Linked DNA regions of Astyanax mexicanus. Each later gene encodes a partner of the first gene's protein in a complex. Links are inferred from orthologs where the notes say so. Each region holds a gene or a part of one and is shown on either strand. Other genes may lie near its edges.

The links. The genes of interacting proteins can lie anywhere in the genome.
Region 2: arpc1b (region 1) and arpc3 share a complex: the UniProt entries of both Homo sapiens proteins name them as parts of the arp2/3 complex. The link is inferred for Astyanax mexicanus from reciprocal best matches to the Homo sapiens genes ARPC1B and ARPC3.

Annotation. Positions count from the first base shown.
Region 1 is NC_064410.1:54,828,125-54,838,623, reverse strand, and holds the start of arpc1b (actin-related protein 2/3 complex subunit 1B), read right to left. Parts: upstream 4,697-10,499; 5' UTR 4,542-4,696; intron 3,123-4,541; 5' UTR 3,112-3,122; coding exon 3,048-3,111; intron 1-3,047. Other genes in the region: arpc1a (actin-related protein 2/3 complex subunit 1A), read right to left, coding at 5,536-5,574, 5,787-5,877, 8,451-8,644, 8,738-8,813, 8,925-9,137, 10,167-10,274, 10,384-10,499. UniProt on the Homo sapiens protein: Component of the Arp2/3 complex, a multiprotein complex that mediates actin polymerization upon stimulation by nucleation-promoting factor (NPF).
Region 2 is NC_064424.1:45,963,864-45,974,136, reverse strand, and holds the start of arpc3 (actin-related protein 2/3 complex subunit 3), read right to left. Parts: upstream 4,223-10,273; 5' UTR 4,078-4,222; coding exon 4,072-4,077; intron 3,538-4,071; coding exon 3,438-3,537; intron 3,263-3,437; coding exon 3,186-3,262; intron 2,320-3,185; coding exon 2,251-2,319; intron 1,532-2,250; coding exon 1,405-1,531; intron 968-1,404; coding exon 873-967; intron 1-872. Other genes in the region: gpn3 (GPN-loop GTPase 3), read right to left, coding at 5,440-5,505, 5,744-5,872, 6,149-6,245, 6,339-6,454, 7,404-7,528, 7,842-8,009, 8,267-8,375, 9,108-9,155. UniProt on the Homo sapiens protein: Component of the Arp2/3 complex, a multiprotein complex that mediates actin polymerization upon stimulation by nucleation-promoting factor (NPF).

The sequences.
Region 1 (10,499 bases):
GAAGTGGGGGGATTAGTCATCACTGCTTCTCTCATCAGAGCCGGGCAGAAAAAATGAGCAGGGTGGCGACTGAGAGAGAGAGAGAGAGAGAGAGACACCACGCTGCCCTTTTCTCCATTTCTCATCAGTTTCTGCTCAACTAAAAACAAAGGGGCGACTGTTCCAGACCCCGTTCTCTCGGCCTGATGGTGGTTTAAACCCAGTCTTCGCTCCGTCCCAGCTGCTGGATTCTGGCTGTGCTGGGCAGAGTTTGAAAGCACAGGAAGGAGATTAAAAAAACAGCCTGATCTGAGTTTAAAAGTTGCGTGCTTGGCAGGGCAGTGGACTGTGGTTTCCCTGAGAGTGGCAGACTCAGCAGAACGGTGTATTAAACCAACACACGGGCTCTCAGGGCTTGAATGGTGGTTTGCTTAAGAGCACTCACCCCATACTCAAGATTGTGATGATGCAGCATTTCCTGTGTGATGTGCATTTTCTTTTCCTTTCTTTTATTAATTTATTTATCCCATTTTCTCCCCAATTTACAAGGACAATTACCCCACTCACTCATTAGGACCCCCCCTACCACTAGTAATACCCCAACACCAGCAGGGTGAAGACTAGCACATGCCTCCATTGATGCATGTGAAGTCAGCCACCACCTCTTTTTGAACTGCTGTTGATTTTTGAGCATTTCCAAGAAGCATCACAGCGCGCTTGGAGGAAAGCACAGCGACTCTTTTCTGATACATCAGCTCACAGATGCCTCATGCTGTGGACATCATCTTCAAGTGATGAGTGGAAAAAGAGCGCCATCTACCCACTCAGAGAGAGCAAGGCCAATTGTGCTCTCTCGGGGCTCCGGCAGCCGATGGCAAGCTATATGAATGGGATTCCTTTATTTCCATGATAGGGATTAAATTTTGTTATTTTAAAATGGAGATTTTCCACTGAAAGGAAAATATATTCTATGACTAGGTTTAGGCCCAATCCTATTTCACCCCTTGGCTCTACCACTTAGCTCTACCCCTTTGTTTTGTGTGTGAACGTCTAGGGGTAGGGGTGTCCTGATTTTTGTTAGGCTGGAGGGGTAGGGTGAAGAGTTATAGCTAAATGGGCCTTCAAACAAAGATTTTTTTAGATGCACTCTTAAAACAGAGTTCTATGAGAATTACTGGCAAGATTTAGTGGCTAGCTAGCTTTCTAACTATCCTGCTCCTACTTTTTAGCAAAGAAAAGGTACTTTTACTTAATTACATTTTTTCAGTACTTTTTCCACCTCTGGTAGAAGGTGGATAAGAGCTCTGCAATTTTTATAAGAAAACTGCTGCTTTTTTACTGGCCACTCATGCTTTAATCTTATTTTAATATATTTTGCTCAATATGACTATGGTCTGGCCTTTTTACTCCAATCTTGGTGACGCTACAACATAATTGTTATTAGAAGCCAACCGATAACATTTATGCTTATCTTTCAAGCTATTGTAAGTATTGAAAATACTGGTGACATTCTTTCTTACATAAACAAACATGCAAAAAAACACAATGGCCAATATGGATGTTATCAATGATCCTAGACTTGAAACAGGGAATTAAATATGAACTAATTTAATCTGAACATCAGGGGAGAAAATACCCATTCTTCTCCCTGTTTACTGAGCCACTCAAATGCATTCAGGAACCTTCAGAGAAAAAAAAACACCAAAAATGTTCTTTCTGAGCGTGTGATCTCCAAAAAGTAGTAGAAAAAAAAAACACACCAACAAACCCGTCCTTGTTCTTCTGCAGAGCCAAAACAAGGACAGCCAGCCTAGTGTCTGTTTGTCTGTTTGGAGCGACTACATACATCTACATTACAAATGTGAACATTCCCAGTGAACATTAAGCTTTAAAGAGTGAGTCCATAAATCAGAGAAGCTTATGAAAACCCAGCAGCCGCCTCCTGCTGCGAGTCCTGCGGAAATACCTGCAGATACCTGGCCTGGGACCAGACGCTCCAGCCTAATGTAGCAACCACATGTTCCAGCATCTGCACCAACACAGGCCTGCCTATAATCCATGTTCTGTGCAGGAGTGTGCCATATTTCCATCGGCTGTTATACATTATTATTATATAATTAGTGCTACAATATTATCTGCTGTCATACATTATTATTAAAAAAATATTTAGCTAAATTTTCACCTTCTGTCATTCATTATTATTATTACAGATTGTAATAATATTTATAATTATAATAATTACAACATTATAACAGATTTAAAAAAATATTATCTGCTGTTCAACATTATTATTATTACAGATTAAAAAAAAATATTATGTGCTGATACAAATTATTACAGGTTTTTAAAAATATTATCTGCTTTTAAATATTATTATTACAGATTTAAAAAAAAAATATTATCTGCTGTTAAACGTTATTACAGGTTTTTTGTTACATTATTGTCTGCTGTTATACATTATTATTACAGATTTTAAAACATATCTGCTGTTAAACATTATTATTACAGATTTTTTGTTATTATTTGCTGTTATACATTTTTATTTATTAAAAAATATAACCTTCTGTTATATATTATTACTAAAAAAATACCTACTGTTAAACAATACAGATTTTTACAAATATTATCTGCTGTTAAACATTATTATTACATTTAAAATATATATATATATATATATCTGCTGTTAAACATTATTACATGTTTGTTTGTTACTTATTATCTGCTGTTAAATATTATTATTACAGTATTATCATGCTGTATCTGATAAAAAAAATGACAAAAATGTAATGTTTTTGTTTTATACTGAATCTATGAAACTTTTATATTAATACTCAATGAAACCACCATTATTTTGTTGCAGTAAAATATTTTTTAAATTAATAAAATATGTTTTTAGTCCCATCACCAAGAATATCTTATTACAACATTGAAACACTGAAATATTGTGATAGTATTTCAGTATAGTATAGCCCCCCTCTCATGCTAGGGTGGACATCTTTGTGATTTTGAGATGTTTAAAGGCCTTCAGAACTCTGGAAGATGCTCTACACAAGAGCAGCAGAACTCACGGGTTCGGTCCTTGTTCCAGGCGTGGCAGCTGATGGGTTCCAGTAGAAAGCTGTGGTAAGCCATGGTTCAGGTCTCTGCAGATCAGATACAGCAGCAGATAAGAACAAACTGAACACCTTCAAACCTTTAGCATCTGCTCAAATGTTTAAAAGAGCACATCCAAGTAACCATATCTAAATACTTTTTTATTTATTATCTATAATTCAGTCCACACATGGATTTTGGGAGAACTTTTCAGCATATTATAGCTTTTAGAGGTTTTGATGGATGGAAGCATGTGTCATCTAAAGTCTCAAATTCTTCATACATTTGAACATTTCTGGTATATTTTTATTGCACAAAAAAAACATCTACTTTGATCTTGGTGAGAACACCTGCTAATTAGTTATATCTGTGTTAAATTTACAAAAAGAAAAAAAAAATCAAAAAGTGAGGCCACGCTTCTTCACTTCCGCAGAAATGAGAACAAGAAGCAGCGGCTCTAAAAGGAGAACTTTCTGAACTTCCTTATGTAGTCAACTCCATTGTGTTTGATCTACATGTGAACTAGGGGTGTGCCATATTGTATTACACAGTATAAAATGTTATAATTTATTTAATTTATGATTAAATTAGTTAATAAAAAAGAACAGTATATAATGATTAAAGCAATATTTGATCTTGTAATCAGTATGGTTTTTTTTGTATTTACAGTGGAGCTTTAAGCTTTTTACTTTTTAAGAGTATAATTGTGTTTGTTTGCAGTTAATATGCATGCACTAAAAATTCGGCACAGATTTACAGATTTTTTTCTGTTTCTACTGATTGTTTGAAACTTGTCTTTATACAATAAAAACAGCAAAAAGTTTATTGCCAAGAATATCGTTAATGCAAAAATAGCCCTGAAATATCATGATATTATTTTGGGGCCATATCGCCCACCCCTAATAAAATAAACACATTCTTTCATGTCTAGCTCAAATTTAGATTTAGTCTAAAACGCTCCCAGCCGGCCTTTGGAACTAAACTTCCTCTTTTTCCCCTCTTTCTCTCTCTCTTTTGCAGTAAATTAAAAGCAGAGCAGAAAGGAATGTGACGTGAGGTCAGACAGCCGGATGACAACTGCAGGAGAAAAACACATTCAACACCTTTTCATCTCAGACTTTCCATTCAGAGCTCCCTCCCTGCTCTAAAGAGCCTCTTACGCCTTCTAAAGTCTTCTCAACAGTTCATAAGAAACAACAGTTTCCTCCTCAAAACCTCTATTTATAGCTGTATATCTGGGAACAGTTATGACATTGTTATGCAAAGGCGTAATAGTAGTAATAACATGTTAGTACATGTTAGTTTCGCAACACTTGAAGCTCTGCATACACACACACACACACACACACACACACACACATATATATATATATATATATACATATATAGAGCAGAACACGCCCTGCAGCAGCTAGCTGAAAGCCTGCACTACGCTTCACATAAACAGAAAAATCTGTTCATCTACTCACCCTGGAAATGGTTAAACGGGAAGTTTCCCTGAGATCTAGCAGATAGGAAGAGGTGGAACAGAAGCAGCCTGAGTTCGTGGACTCTGAGCAGTCAACACAAACGCTGGCTCGGCTCTCAATGAACTCAACTATTTCCTTAGACCTTTTATATACGTAAAAAAAAAAGAAAAAAAAAAAAGAAAAAGAAGTGTTCTTCCCCCTTCCTGTTTGAGACACTTAACCACTTCCTCGTGTGGGCGGCTGTCTGCAAACGGGGCCAGCCTTCTCTGTTCAACTCCTTTCAACATCCTGCTCAGAGGCATGTATAACATAAGCTACTCTCGCGATCCTTCATCTGCCGGTGTGTGTGTGCTGCCTGTACAAACACAGTGAGTCCAGAATGTGCAATGTGAACACTAAACCAACTAGCAAACCTTCTATTCGCTGTGGATGGGTGAGTGTTTGGCATGAATTGAGGCTGCAGTTAATCAAATATCCCAAAAAGTTGTGCAACATTCAACAGCAATACCAAACATCCCGAACGCGAGCATTAAATGCATTCATTAAATTAATAATAACAACAAGTCACACAGAACGAGACAAGACACTACATTCCCAAATGGTGTGTAGTATACTTCATTTATTTCTAGCAGACCATTTACATAAAATTCTCCTTTAATTTAACGCCTCTCTGGTTCCCCAGAACACCAAGATCAAATGTCAGACTGCTGGAGCACCAGCTTTGGCATAGAATTAAAAAAAAAAAAAAAAAAAAAAAAAAAAGCCCCCAAAAAAACAAAACAAAAAAAAAGACCCTAACCCCCTTTTCCATTAGTGTTTTTCCATTTTTTTTTTTCATTTGTTTCTTTTTAAGAGTGTCACGTCAGCTCACACCACTGTTCAGTGCTTTTTTTTTTCTCAGTTAAAAACTTTCAGAAGTGTTATCAGAAATCTCCTTGTTAGTCTTCAAGCTGCATTGCCTGCGCTGCGTCGTGCTAGTTCAGAGTGAGGTCTTTCACATGATCCGTAGGCCTTGAATAGAGGACTCTAAAGTCTGAGGAGACAAAAAAAAGAAGAAGAAGAAGAAGAAAAATGAGAAGAAGATCAAATACAGTGAGCTGTTGAGCTCAGAGCATGTTTCTTACGCAAGATTGAGAAATGACTGCAAGGAAAACAAAGATTGTTCTATTCTAAAAAAACAAACGAGCAAACAAACAACAAAAAAAAAGAGATGCCAACAAAAGCACAACAAACAAAAAGGCAAACCTTAAAGTCCCATATGGTCATTGCTCCATCGATTCCTGTAGTGCAGAATTTGCGACAATCTCTTTTGTCTCCTTCATATATAGACACTTGGCTGCAGAGGAAAGGCAAAGGAGATTACTTACAGATCAGAACAAATTTATATCAAAACACTGAGAAAAATAATGTAAACCCCTCCATGAATTTAAACATAACCAACTTATTTGTTATCTTATCCTCAGTCAAATAAAATCAAATGCCAACTGCCACAACATCTGAAGTGGAGTTGTACATGTGATATATATATTTTTTTCAGCATGTGATGTTTGAGTAGTAGTCACACAGCAGGATGTTCAAGATCACTTAAGTAGAAATGTAACAGTACACAAAATTCCACAATTTGGTGCGATTCTGCTACGAAAAGTAGAGGCAAAAATAAACAGTAATTGTGCAACTTCCAGTATGCTCCAGGTACTTTTATATATTTCCCTTGAGGTATCGAATTTTTTGCACTATAAGGTGCACCCAAAATCCTTTAATTTTTCCAAAAATAGTCAGTGCGTCATATAATCTGGTGCACCTTATGTATGAATTTTAGTACAGCGTTATACAGGAGTTTCAGTTTAGTTCTCCAGCACCGAAACTGGAGCAGTATTAGCATTAGCCCCTAACCGTAATAAGTGCTATCTTTTTTACTGTTCAGAGGGGAGTATTATCGGCCTGTAGCTTACTGCTAACCCCGACTAGCACTGCTGGAGCAGCATTAGCCGCGGCTTACCAGAACACTCAGGATTCCTCAGTGTAGCGCTGTCGGCAGCATTTACTAGCGCTAACTGCGGCTAACCTAGTGGAAATCTGCAAATCTAAGCCTACTGTAAATAAATGGAAGTGCATTTCTTGCCTAGTTTTCAGAAGATAAATCTGTGTAGATTAACATCCTTTTTTATTTTTAAGAATTACAGTTGTGTTTACTTTGCTTTGCTCTACTTAACTTAGTTAACTACCCCCACCTGCAGTGAGACCTGCTGAATTAGAACCCATGATCCTTACTAGTGCTGCATAAAGCGCTTTATAATCCAAAAATACACCAGAAAATAGACGTTCACTGATAGTGCGCCTTAAAGTCTGAAAAATATGGTGAGCAATACAGTCTATACTGCATTTAAACAGCGAAATGTAAACAGTCACAGTGGTCGTATTCTTATCTAACCTGAAATACACATTTTATGTTTACTGTTATAAAATACAAAATTGAATACAATATAAAACGTTTTGCAATGAGAGGAGTGTTATAATTTAATATAATTTATATTTAAACAAAACTTAAGTTCAAAGTTTAAAGAATTTTGTCAGTACAAATCAGCTAAAGTTTTCTCGTGCAAATAACTCACTGTGTTCATTGGTTATCACACATTGGTATAAACGGTGTGTACAGTGTATTCTCCTCTGCAACTGCACAAACCATGACCCCTCTACTGATAATTCATAAAGAACACATGTAACCATTATACCCCTACACATTAGGCAAAGGCAAACACACCACACTACAACCTTTTTGGCAGTTGGTATAAAATGGAAATATCCAGGCCATATCTACTATAGGTTGATTATACATTGGCATGCTAGAAGTCATGGGAGAGCAGTACACTGGAAAGGCAACGTAAAACATCAGTTTGAGTGAGATCGGCAGTGAGTGCCAGATGGATGGGACATTATATTTCTAAATTGTGCAGACATTTACCAATTCTAGGAAAACTCCACAGGTTAGAGCTGCTTCCTTTAGCTTACATGGCTACACAAAGTGCATTACCAATAGGGCTGGTTATCGTTTAAAAATGTTCAGTACTGATACTGATACAATACTTTAAATCTGGTACAGATACCCAAACAATACTTTTTTCGATATCTTTTTTTAATTGTAACTAAAAAAAATATATACAAAAAGCGATAATTATTCTCACAAAACATGTTTAAACTATCACTGTGAGAGACTACCATAATTTTGGATCTTGTTGGTTGTTTGTGGCGCTTTATTAAGAACCAAAACAACAGCGTTACTACAAATATTTTCACTAAGCATAATACTGGATGCATTTCAGTTCTTTTAAAAAAATATCTGCATTAGATTGGCAAAACTAAATTATTTTTATTAGAGTGGTGTCAATCACTTAAAAATTAAATATCAAGTTTCATGCTAGTTCCCTGTATTATTGTGAGGGAACAGCTAAAATAGTGTAGTGTGGTTTAGGTTTGGCAGACTAGATCATTTTTTATTGTATTATAATATCTCAGGGTAGAGGGGAGGACTGCGTGAGAGACAAAGCGAATGAAAATGAGAGAGAGACAACGTGAATGAGCTAGAGAGAAAGAGAGACGGCGCACAAGAGGTCAAGCAAGAGACTGTGTTTCTGTGCGCGTTTATGCAGGTTTAATGCAAAGTATCGAAAACAGGCACCAAATTTTTTTGGACCTTTTGGTACTCTGTAGTACCGAGACATTTTGGACCACTGTGTCTTTATGGTATCAAATTTCGATATCCAGTCCTAATTACCAATTTCATGACATGTTGGATCTGTGACTGCAGTGATTGCAGTGGAAAAACTGTTAGTTCTGTCAATATTCTACAGGCCTAATCTGAAGCCAGTGTCCAAACACTATTCAGGACCACGACCAGGGCATGAGACTTACGTGATGCTGTTCTGGTGAAGGGTTTCCAGAGTGCTATTGCGGTCCTCAGTGGTGGCTCTCTTGTCCATGTTGCGGAAGCGCTCCATGGCAGAGATGTTGCGCTGGATGCTCTGCTTTGGAATGTCCAACTTGGATATGAAGGTCAAGGTTCCACCATCATCAAAGCTGAACAGCATTGGGCAGCAGTCATGACCCTTCAGAGGAAAAACACCACTTTAAAACTGAATCCTGAGACAAAAATGACAATAAAACCTGAACCTGTGCTGTAAACTGTAACCTGCCCTTACCGCTGCCACAATGTTGTTCTCAGAAACGAAGGTGACGCTCAGAAGAGCAAGGAATTCTGTTTTCAGTGGGCTTGGCCTGCAAACAAAAGGAAGCAGTCTTTCAGAAAAAAGGGCCAACAAAACAAATCTGAAAACACACAATGTTTTCTGAAAACATAAAAAAATGCAATCATATTAAGATTCTCACGTTGAGCTTTTTGTGGGGTCCACCACAGTCACAGTGCTGTCATGGCTGACCCAGGCCAGTCTGTTCCCACTGGCAGAGAAACAGACACTGTGGACCCATCCTCCACTGCCTGCCCCACCAAACTCTGCCATCACCTGCCCAAACGGCATCTTGGACCCCCATGGAGTTGGAGCTGGCTTTTCATCCACCTCCTTGATGTATGCAGAAAATACCCTGCGAAAGAGATAGATGTCACATGACTATAAGGACACAGACAAAAGTCCATCACTGTTCTGAAAAGCAACAGCAGCCTGTTCAAATAAACATGGCATTGTCTGAAATAGATGCCAAAGATCTTTCATGGTTTTGTTCGAAATCAAAAGGTATTAAAAGACTTTATGCAGTTTTTGATGAAGTAACTGTCTCTAATTTTCTGGGGATGTTTCTCTTAGATTATAGGACGATGGATGATCACCACCTGATTGGATAACCTTTAGTCCATGTGTGGCATTTGACATGGTACCAATAGCTTTGTGTTTATTTGCTCCAGACAGTCTTATTCTGTTGGCTTCTCTACAGGGACTAAACACACAGTGTGCATTTGTACATCTGTATCAGCAATTGGTGTAACTAACATTTTTTAAAGGAGTGTCCACAACCATTTGGAAATATAGAGTAAAACAAATATTGTTATTGTCACTGTAACAAATCAAAATCAAATTTATTTGTATAGCACATTTTACAACTGATGTCATAAAGCAGCTTTACAGGACAAAGAATCAGAAAACACTGAACCCTCAGTGAGCGCTGGGGCAACACAAAAACCTTGTATCTCTGATTATGCCACTTTTTTATTATTTGACATACTCTAAAACTTCTTAAAAAGTTGTTATAAAAATGTCAGTTCACTTGGCCGGGCACTTATGTCTGTTTGAATGGGGGGACGGGACAGGGGCTTTCCTACCAGCATGCTGACACTCCTACAGTCTACACACAAGAAGCAGCTGATTGGCTCTTTTTGTTAAGGGCAAGACTTTTTCCATAAACAGGAGCAATTTTTAGCATTACAAGAAATCCCATTCATACATCCTCACTAATAAGGTCTCTGCTTATAATACTTTTTTTTTTCTTTTTTTTCTGTGAAGCTATAAGGAGAACCTAGACTTTACACAGGAGTGATATGATTGCGAGTAGTCACGTGCCCATAACGGGAATAGCGGACTCTCAATGAAAATTCCAGGTAACCGTGAGACTCAAACTTACCTGCATTTAAAGTCACATGACCCAGCTGCCAGAAGTACATTGTTTGGATGCCAGTCAAGACTGAGGACAGTGGAGCGGATAGGCTTCTTGATGTGTTTGCTAACCCACCTTTTTAAAAAACATAGAAAGCATATTTATGCACAGAACAGCTGCAATGTGATCTGTTTTAAACTGAAGGCTCCTAAAACGTTCACTAGAAGCTCCAATTCAGACTCACCAGTCATTTTCAGACTCAAAGTAGCAAACAGATATGAGGCGAGCTCCACTGCCCACTGCAAACTTATTCTCCAGTGGAGACCACTTCACAAACGTGGCAGCACGGTTGATCCTGAG
Region 2 (10,273 bases), on another chromosome or scaffold:
TATATATATAATATATAATTACCAGTAATGTGAAAAAGATAAGTTTAAAAAAAAAGCTGCTTTTCTGATCAGTACTTGTTAGTAATGTTAAAAACATTATTAGAATATATGTAAAAAATATTAATAAAAAAGTGGTGTTTTTAAACTTTTGTTTCTTAGTCTGAGTATTATTTATAGTTCTCATCATATTAACATTTGGTTTCATAAATCAGAGCTTAGTAATGGTAAATCAGGTGACTTGCTGATGGAATTGAACTCTGTAAAACTGTAATTATGTTTAGCTGTATTGTTTGTAGATCTGGAATTATTTTTTACACTAAATGCTCTCTTATGGCTCAGAAAAATGATTTATAACTGTGGTTCTCAAACTTTTTAAAGCAATGTTGCGCCATGATTAAACCAAAAAACTTATTGGCACTTTAGCCAATCTGCAAATTACTGATTATTGTATATTGTAAATGCAGTATACCTACTGAGAAATCTTGAGACAGTGGGAAATAACATGAGAATGTAGTGGACTACAGAGTCTACATGGCTCCACCCCAGACTAATTATTTTGCTGTTATTACTAATAGAGACTATTGTGAATGGAGTTCCACAGAGATCAATTGTAAGGCCTATGAAACTGTAAAAAACTGTGTAAAAGTGTTATCTTACATACAGGGTCTACCAGATTAAACATTAAACACAAACAAACCTTAGATGTAAAAACTTTATTAAATATTTTTTGTAAATTCATTTAATTTTCTGAAGTAATCTGGTGTACTACCCTGAAATGCTTTGTGTATCACAGCTTGAGAGCCACTGATTTATAATACTGTGATTACCAGCCTGAAACCTGTGTGTGTGTGTGTGTAACAATATATGCTTACCTTGCTGGGTTTGTCTGTCTGTGGGTCGAACACGCGCTCACACAGTCTGAGGCCGGTCTCCTGGCGAATTTGCTGCAGGTAAGCCCTCATCGTCTCTGATAAAAACAATCAACAATCACTTGGTCAACATTAGAAAGGGAGCGGACACTGATATGAAGGCATTTCAAATTGATTACTCATACTGCAGATAGACAGATAGAACAGATATAGTTACATAAAAAATAGAAACATTTAATACTCTAAATTAATTTATATATGTATTGTAGGGAATTGTGTGCCTAGATATGGACTCTGCTGTAAAATGCTGTAGTGGCCGATGCAGTCCTCCAGGTGGACTGTGGTTTCCGGTTGAGAGTACGCTGTGCTCTATTGGCTGCTGCTTCTCGCCGGTGTATGGATGAGTGCTGAGTATAAAGGGTTGTGTGTAAAAATGTGTAAATTCTAAAGTGTCATTGGTTTCTAGAAAGGCGTTATTTAAGTGTAACTTCATTCATTCATTCATTCATTCACTGAAGCAGCAGTTATCTCGTACCTTCTTCCTGTTTGTTGGAGGGTTTAACGTACATGGCGTTCAGAGGGAATCCAGGCTCTCCTGGGATGGGGAAGTTGGTGATTCCCAGCGTGTACATCTCCTTCTCTCCCTGACCCTTTGAGCTGCACTGCAGGACATAAAGAAGGATGTATTTGTTACATGTATCAGTAAACCCTTTAATTTACAGCATAAATGATGAGGCCACAAACAATATAACAATAATAACGTGCCCATGTATTACTGGAGTCGGTTTACACCTGGCATTACGATGAGGGTTTTTGTGATAAGATTCAGCCAAGCAAGCACTTGTCCATTGCACTGTGTGTGTGTGTGTGTGTGTGTGTGTGTGTATCCATACTAACAAATAGTTGATAGTAGGGCTATGCGACATGATACAAATATAATAACACTATTTTTAAAGACAATTTTCCCATACTAAGATTTATGTACAATTTACTGCAATACTTCCAGTTATTCTTGACTAATTATGCTCTCTATAATATATATCTATAAATATACAATTAGGCCAGTAACTTTTAAACACTGAAGAAATCCTCAATATGCTTGAAAAGTTTATATTTGTACTTACGATAAGAAAATAATGATAAAATAAAATATATAATACTTCCCACCTATCTATCGCCGTTTAAGTAGTCCATTACATTTCCTAATAGGGCTTTTATGGAAATGTGAGAACCATCTCCACTGTATAGAAGTACCACTATCATTTCAGGATGGTATTGAAGAGAAACCATTGTTTACAGGAAGTACAATAGGAACTGAGTATGTGTAATTTAATTGTATTGTTATTATTATTATTATTATTATTACTCCAGGCACACTCACCTTCTGTAGCTTCTTGAGGCACTCAGAGATGTACAGGGTGACGTAGATCAATGTTCGGTCAGCTTCATTCTAATAAAAATTAAGCAAATAAAACAATTACTGCTAGAAAAGACGTATGTGCTTACAATACAATACATAAAAGAGTACAAAACAGAGAGCGACCCTACATGTGATTATATGAAGGCATGACTGTATTTCACTGTTACCATAATAAATTACAGTACCAGTTAAAATTGTGTGTTTCAGCTATATACCATACATGTAACAGTAAATGTAAATATATGTGTGTGTCGTGGATATTTTGCCATATTGGACTGGACAAAAAAAGCTGGACTAAAGAAAAAAATCATCTATAGCGCCTTGCAAATAACATGTCTGCTTTTTTTTTTTAACAATACACAGCATTTATTATGATACATGTAATTACATTCAAAAAGCATCAGTAGTGAAAGATTAATAAAACATTACTCAGATACTTTCCCATACTGTGATCAGTGAATAGTAGGGGTTTGTCATATTCTATCGTATGCAATAATAGAATGGAATTAAAATTTTGCCGCAGAAGTGTATTCTTGAAATATATATATATATATATATATATATATATATATATATATATATATATATATATATATATTAATTCAGTTTTTTTATCATATTGCCAAGAGTATTGTTATTGCGAAAATACCATGAAATAGTAAAGTAGAGTAGTAAAGTAGTAAAGAACAGCTGATTGCATATTTGCTTATGTGTTTTTTTTTTTTTTTTTGTACAAAAAGCATGCGAATACAGCACCAGTGCAGGCTAAACTGAAGGTGGCTGCAGAGGCAGATCTTAGAAGAATGCAGGTTGAGGCATGAGTGCATTTTTTACAGTCCTGGGTCCTTCAGCTACTTCCTGGGTATTGCAGTACATTGCAGGCTTGCAGTACGTACCTTAATTTCATAGTTCTTGAAGAAAACGTTGGCTTTGAAGTAATAAATAGCCTCATCGATGATATCTTGGTCTTTGGCTGTCAAAATAGAAAACAGGAAGATGATGAATCTGAGTCTATGGTGATGTAGTTAGTAGTGCAGCCAGTTCGCAACCATTTAAGGAAGTAATGCTGGAGCCCTACGGCTTGGACACATGACACAGCCAGCATATGTATTTTTAAAAACACATTTATTACTAAAATAATAACTCACTTTCTTTTGGAGCCGGGCCTTTAAACTGTGTTTTGAGAGGGAGTAATGCCATATTCCCCACCAGCTTGGTGTCGCCATCCATCAGACTGGAGTGGTAAGCCTGATAATCCAAAAAAAAAAGAGGAAAACCCGTTGGAATTAGTATTAAATCTATTAAATATGCAATAATGTGTTTTTAAAGCAAATAAAAATACCAACAGCCTTAGCTATAGCTAGTTATAGCGTTACAGTATTGAAACTACACTGGGTTACATTACCAATGCAATACATTCGCTAAGCTAAAGCTATGTATTAGTTAGTTAGCTGGGGTTAGCTCCCTAAATCCCTAAAAAAAATGTGTATTAACTGCTTATATGCGATACCAGCAAACCTCTAAGACTCATAAAACACATGCAGGTGTTTTAAACAAACAGAACACGTTAAAATCAGCTTTAAAATCAGAAAGTCCAGCTAAAATTCTCTGAAAATGTCTGAGGAGGGACGGGAAGCTGCTAGCCGTGCAGCTAGCTTCGTTCGGTTGACCATCAGCTCCAGCTACCGTGGCTCAGAAAAAGACCCGAAAACGAAGATTATACTGTTTAAAAGCCGTTTTAATATGACGTTCTATTAAAAGAGACTTTAAACATTTTCTTACCGGCATTTTGTTGATAGGTAAGCGGGATTTGGTGAGGAAAATATGGATAGTGTCAGCGCTGCAAAACGCCGCTTCCGCTGTGAGTCCCACCCAACCGCTATACAGGAAGAGCTTGGGCTGCAGTTCCCATACTGACCACTAGGGGCAGATAACCGCATATACTATACTAAAACTAGAGCATCTAAAAAAAAAATAATATTATTAAAAATATCATTACTTTATTTCAGTAATTCAGTTTAAAATGTGAAACGCATATATTACATAAACGTCTTACAGTATTACACACAGGATGATCTATTTTAAGCATGAAATTATTTATTTTATTGGTGATGATTATGTCTTACAGCCAATGAAAACTTGTGGCAGTGTAGGCAGTGTGCCAAGTCCTGCTGGAAAATGAAATCTGCATCTCCATAAAAGCTGTTTTCAGCCGAGGGAAGCATGAAGTGCTGTAAGATTTTGTGGGAAAACAAAACTGCACTGACTTTAGACTTGATAATAAAACACAGTGGATCAACACCAGCAGATGACAGACATGTCTCTCCAAACCATCACTGATTGGTGGAAACTTCACTCTAGACCTCGAGCAGTTTGGACTGTGTGTCTCTCCACTCTTCCTCCAGACTCTGCTCCCTTGATTTTTAAATAAAATGTAAAATTTACTGATGATCAGTGATGGTTTTGAGAGTCATGTCATCTGCTGGTGTTGATCCACTGTGGTATATTAAATAGTTTAACATGAAAAAAGTTTACATGAAATGTTCATTCACACACTATTAAACTGGCCATACTTGTAGATCATTATAAACCATCAAACACATATTAAACAAAAACATACTGATATATATATATATATATATTTATATAATCATACATAATTGTATATAGTATGGCCATTGTCATGTCGTAGTAATTCATACCTATTTATGTATATGTAATTTGTATTTAAACATTACATTTTTCAGATCAACAACCATCAGAACACATGTAATAAACTTTTACAAATATTTTATTGAAAAAATATTTATTATACAGCTCTAAGAATGTAAGAATGCATCATCCCATACTTAAAGAGTGTAGGAACAGACAGGAAACACAGGAAGAATAAAATTAGGAGAATAATAATTATGCAGTCTGTATTGAAAACATGCACACACACCCACACGCACAGAAACTAGATTCTTGAGGAACTTCAGACTCTTCAGACTGCCCGACATTTCCTCCTCATGTCCTGCAGCGGTGCTCTTCACTTCCAGGCTGGGAGGGTCACAGCACCCTGCTGCTGAGTGCCCGTTTCATCAGCACTGCATCTCTGTGACTTTTAGTCTTGTTATGTGTCAAACAGGCTGTATTTCTATGATGAAGTGTCTAGTAATCCACTTTGTCTTGAAAGAATTCATCATAATTTGTGTTGCTAGGCTCCTCCTCAGTCTCCTAAAGAAAAAGGGAAATTGTTAAGTAATATAATGATGAAAAATAAATGGAAATAATCATACACCTTTAAAGCCTTTGTATTTAAATCAACTGCATTTAAACCTTAGATATTGGGCTACTTTAGGCTTCTGAAGGGCAAGTTTTAGACTTATTTTGGCTGGATATTTTTTACTGAACCTGGCAACCACATGATAATCTACACGGTAAACTAAAAAGACAAATTAAATAACGTGTTTACCTTCGGCTCCTTGAACTCTAGGTCCTCTCCATACTGAATGGAGAAGTCGATGTGCTGTAGAACAATGTTGATGCCTTCCTCATCTGTGCGGTCAAAGGGCAGGAAGCGCACCATGCTGTAGTCATCAATCTGTACACAAACACAAATCTGTTTCTTAAAATACAATGTATTTTATGTCATATTTACATATAAAATATATAAAATTTGGGACCTACCTACCTCCTCAATTGCATTACATAAAAATAGATATAATAATAGAAATAGTTTCAATAAAACAAAATACAATGACAGACAACTCTTTACATATTATAATGTACATATTAAAATAAAATATTCTGTTCCATAAAAATCTATTTAATTGTTTAATAAAATATAATACAAAAACAGGCATCATTGTAAACCTACCAAACCACAGATAGCTTTAGTGAGTTTGTTGAATTTTTTGCTCCTCAGGGTTGTAGAGTTGTCCTCCATCATGGAGTACATGTCTGGATCCAGATACCTGAAGTAAAAACATTATATTTATCTGTGTTTTATTACAGATTTTACACACGAATACAGTCAAATACAGACCGACACTCTTTGGGAAACTTACTTCTCTATTTCCTTCTTGGCTTTTGGATTGAGCAGGTCCATTTTGGTCATGATGTTGACCTGAGGGATTTCTAGCGCCACCATGGCACTCAGAGCCGCCATTACACCTGAAATAAACTAGAAAACAGAGCATTTCTGATGGGTGTTTTTTTTAAACTAAATAACATCTATTTAGTCACACATTAAGATATGTTACCATCCAAATTGTAATGTTTTTTTGGCTTATTGTTTATTTATTTTACATAGTACAATGTAATTCAATACAAATACAATTTTACGTTTTCCCTTTTCCAGTATTTCACATTATTCATATACATTTTAAAAAGGATTTATAAAATGGTATAATAGGGAAATAAGAAATGATTAAAATAAGTAAAAATATAAATACATAAGGACAAAAAAAATAAATTTTAGTGTTTTAAAAAGTTTGAGTTTTGACTAAATATGAAAAATATTAGTGTGTTTCTTTTGCTTTTAAAGACAATACAGAAGTTTACATCACAAAAAACTGCTAGAAACTGATAATCTAGAGCAGTGATTCTTAACTGGTGGTTCAGGACCCAAAAGTGGGCTGTGGGCACGTTCTGGGCGTGTCATAAAAAGCTTACTGTAAAAGTAAATATATATAAAAAAAAAATCTAAAATTAAAAATAATTTATGTTCATCTGGTTTTGTACTCTTTTGTATTTTATATACTCTCAATGCAGAGATATGCAGAGAAGTGAAATATTTATTTATTTATTTATTATTTATTTCGTGCAATTTTAATATTAACCTAATAGTAGTAACTTTTATACATATAATTATTATGAACCTCCTTAGTTTCTTAAATGCTCTGAAGTGCTCTGAAAATTCACTTTGCTTGCATATGCATGTTTAAACTGCTTTTTGAAAGCTATATTTTTATTAATTAGTTTGGTTTGAATTTAAAGTGGGTTGTAACTTAATGACCAGGAGAAAAATAAAGGACCATTTGAGAACCCCTGCTCTAGGGTGTTTTTGAGCTGAAAATGCAATAATCCTGATTGTTATTTTATTTTTTCAAAAAACAATATTAATTTCCTACCTTGAAGCTTTCCACCATAAACTGAGAGTCGACCAGGAAGACCCCACACACCCGGAACTCCCACTGCTGCAGCTGCTCAGCCAACTGCTTCATAACCGGGAGGTGTGTGTACAGCTCTATCTGACCTGCAGCCAGAGAGGAAAAAACACATGGGAATAAATAATGTGGATTTAAAGAGAACACAGATGTTGATGAAAACACAAATAGAATAAAAGAATGGATAATAGTTAATAGTTTTAGTCTAGGGGCTTTGAGTGGTCCAGCTGATAGGAACTGTGTAAAAATGGGGTCAAATTAGACATAAATAAGAATAGTTTTAGGCGAGAACATCCATTAAAGTCACTTTTTTGTATTAATGAATTTCCTCACAATTTTATTTCACAATTATCATTACCATAATCTTAATAATGGATTAATGGCAATGAATTTCAGAATTACCTGGACAGTCAAAAAGAATGTAGTCATCCTCAACATGACCAAGACACTCCTCCAGCCAGTTGAAGTTATTCGCAAAATACTCCATACAGAACACAAGTCCTCCATTCGGCCCAAACTTCAGCGAATCGTCCTCCATCACATCATCCACCTGGATCAGCTCTCGGATATCTGTACCATTACAAAAACAACAGAAAACAACAAGATTCTTTGTAGCCGTCTTTTAATATTAGGGGCGGGACAATATATCAATATATCGCATCATTTTGACCATATTGTTTTTTATCGTTACGTGGCACCAAATATCATTTTCATTGTGTTATATTCCTCATCCACTGACCTGGATTAACATTAACAATAAAAACAATCATTTGTACAATTCTGAGTATTTCTGGATTTATTGCTGGTCGATTTGTCTCCAGTCTTACCTGCCATCACTGGGTAGTCGAAGTGTTCTGCTGCCGGGTCCAGATTCACCACCTGCACAGAGCGGCTGATGGCTTCAGCATGTTGTATCATAGTGGAGCAGTAGGTGCTCTGTGGAGGAGCAGAGTAGTTCACTATTAAAATGAGCAGCATAATCAAATAATAATCAAAAACCACTCTCTTTCTGTGTTTATTTAAATGGGATTAATCTTATTTATGTTTCTGTAAGTGTCTGTAAGTGAAAATGTACTTAATTTACAGTCATCCATTAAGCTTTTCAAGTGATTTCGAGTTTTATCTTATTTATTCACATTATATATAAATAGTATATCTACTAGAGACAGATTATATCTGTTCTGTATCATTTATTTTACTGGATATATCCTGGATATATGGAGATATTTGGAACGCATTATTATTAGTATCATGACATTTTGGATCATTGACTTCTGTTACAAATCTGATAAAATTCTTGTGTTTTTTTTTACATTACATTACATTACATTTTTTAATATCTCAGTTAGGGGTAACATATATAATATCATATTGTATACAATAATAATATTTTTTTTATTCAGTGTTTTGTCATATCGCCAAGACTTTCGTTATCGCGAAAATACCATGAAATATCGTGATATTATTTTAGGGCCCACTCCTAGCTCTAAATATTAATTTAGTATCCTATTTACACTCCTGCGATGTGACGGTAGCCAGAGAAAATACTGAATGTATGTTAATAGGGATAGATTTGTATAAAACACTAAAATAAAGCAGTATAATCAGATTTAACAGCTTTAATTTAGCTTGATAGTTTTATATTAAACTCTGATCTAATAGTTTTACCTTTCCGCTGCCGGCGGGTCCCATCACCAGCTGAGCGTAGCGCGGCATTATTAACTAAGTTACTATAAACAGCTTTATAACTTCTGAATAACGCAGTTCTCCACTATTACAGAATATATTACAGTATTTATATTACAGTACAGTGAGAGAAATCACAGAAATATCTCTGTAACTGTATTCATATCTCTATCTCTGACTGTAAACACCACACCACTAATCTCCCACTGCCTCCATGCTGCCTGCTGACCAGTCAGAACTACGGAAAGCGAAGAGTATCAAAAACTACAGCGTTCAGAGAATCGCCAATCTCTCTAGATTCGAATACCCACCAGAGAGCGCTGCCGAGTCAGTGCACAAAAATACATAATTGTAAATAAATAATTGCACATATAAATAAAATAAAATAAATAAATATATAGGCAAGTAAATACATGAATAAATACATTTTTATGAAAAAAGCACTCACTTAAAACGATATCAACTATATCATGTTTCCATTAACTTTCCATCCACTTTATTTGGGTCTGTTTCTGTATTTTTCTGCATTTATTGTTATCTATATATTTATTGTTTAATACATATATATTGATTGATACATACAGAAATGAATAAATAAAGAAATATAGTAATACGTACATAAATAAATAATACATAAATAAAATAAAGAAATGTGGGAATAATATAACAGAATATAAATGTTGAAATTTTGAAAAAAAAAAAAAGAATAATAAAGGTTCACGCATGGAAATATGAACAGTGATTCCTAATATGATATTCAAAATATATTTATTAATTAAGTTACCTATACTATTATTTATTTATTTATTTATTTATATGTGCATGTATTTATTTATGCTTGTCATTTTTCGTCCTCCATACCGAACTGCAGAACAGCTGGAATTGAACGTGTAACCTATACAAACTTGATTTTTCAGTGGTGTAATCACTCCACCCTGACACTAGAGAGAGACAGAGACTAAATATTATAGTGGTACTACATAAATAAATCTTGGTGTATACTACCTTCAACAATGCTATATATTTGTTGTATATTGTTATTATGCTTACAGGGGCATAGTAGTTAAATGTTAATCAAAACTAATGCATACATTTTACTGAACAGTATAAAACACAGAAGCATTGGAAGGTTGAATTGATTTTGATCA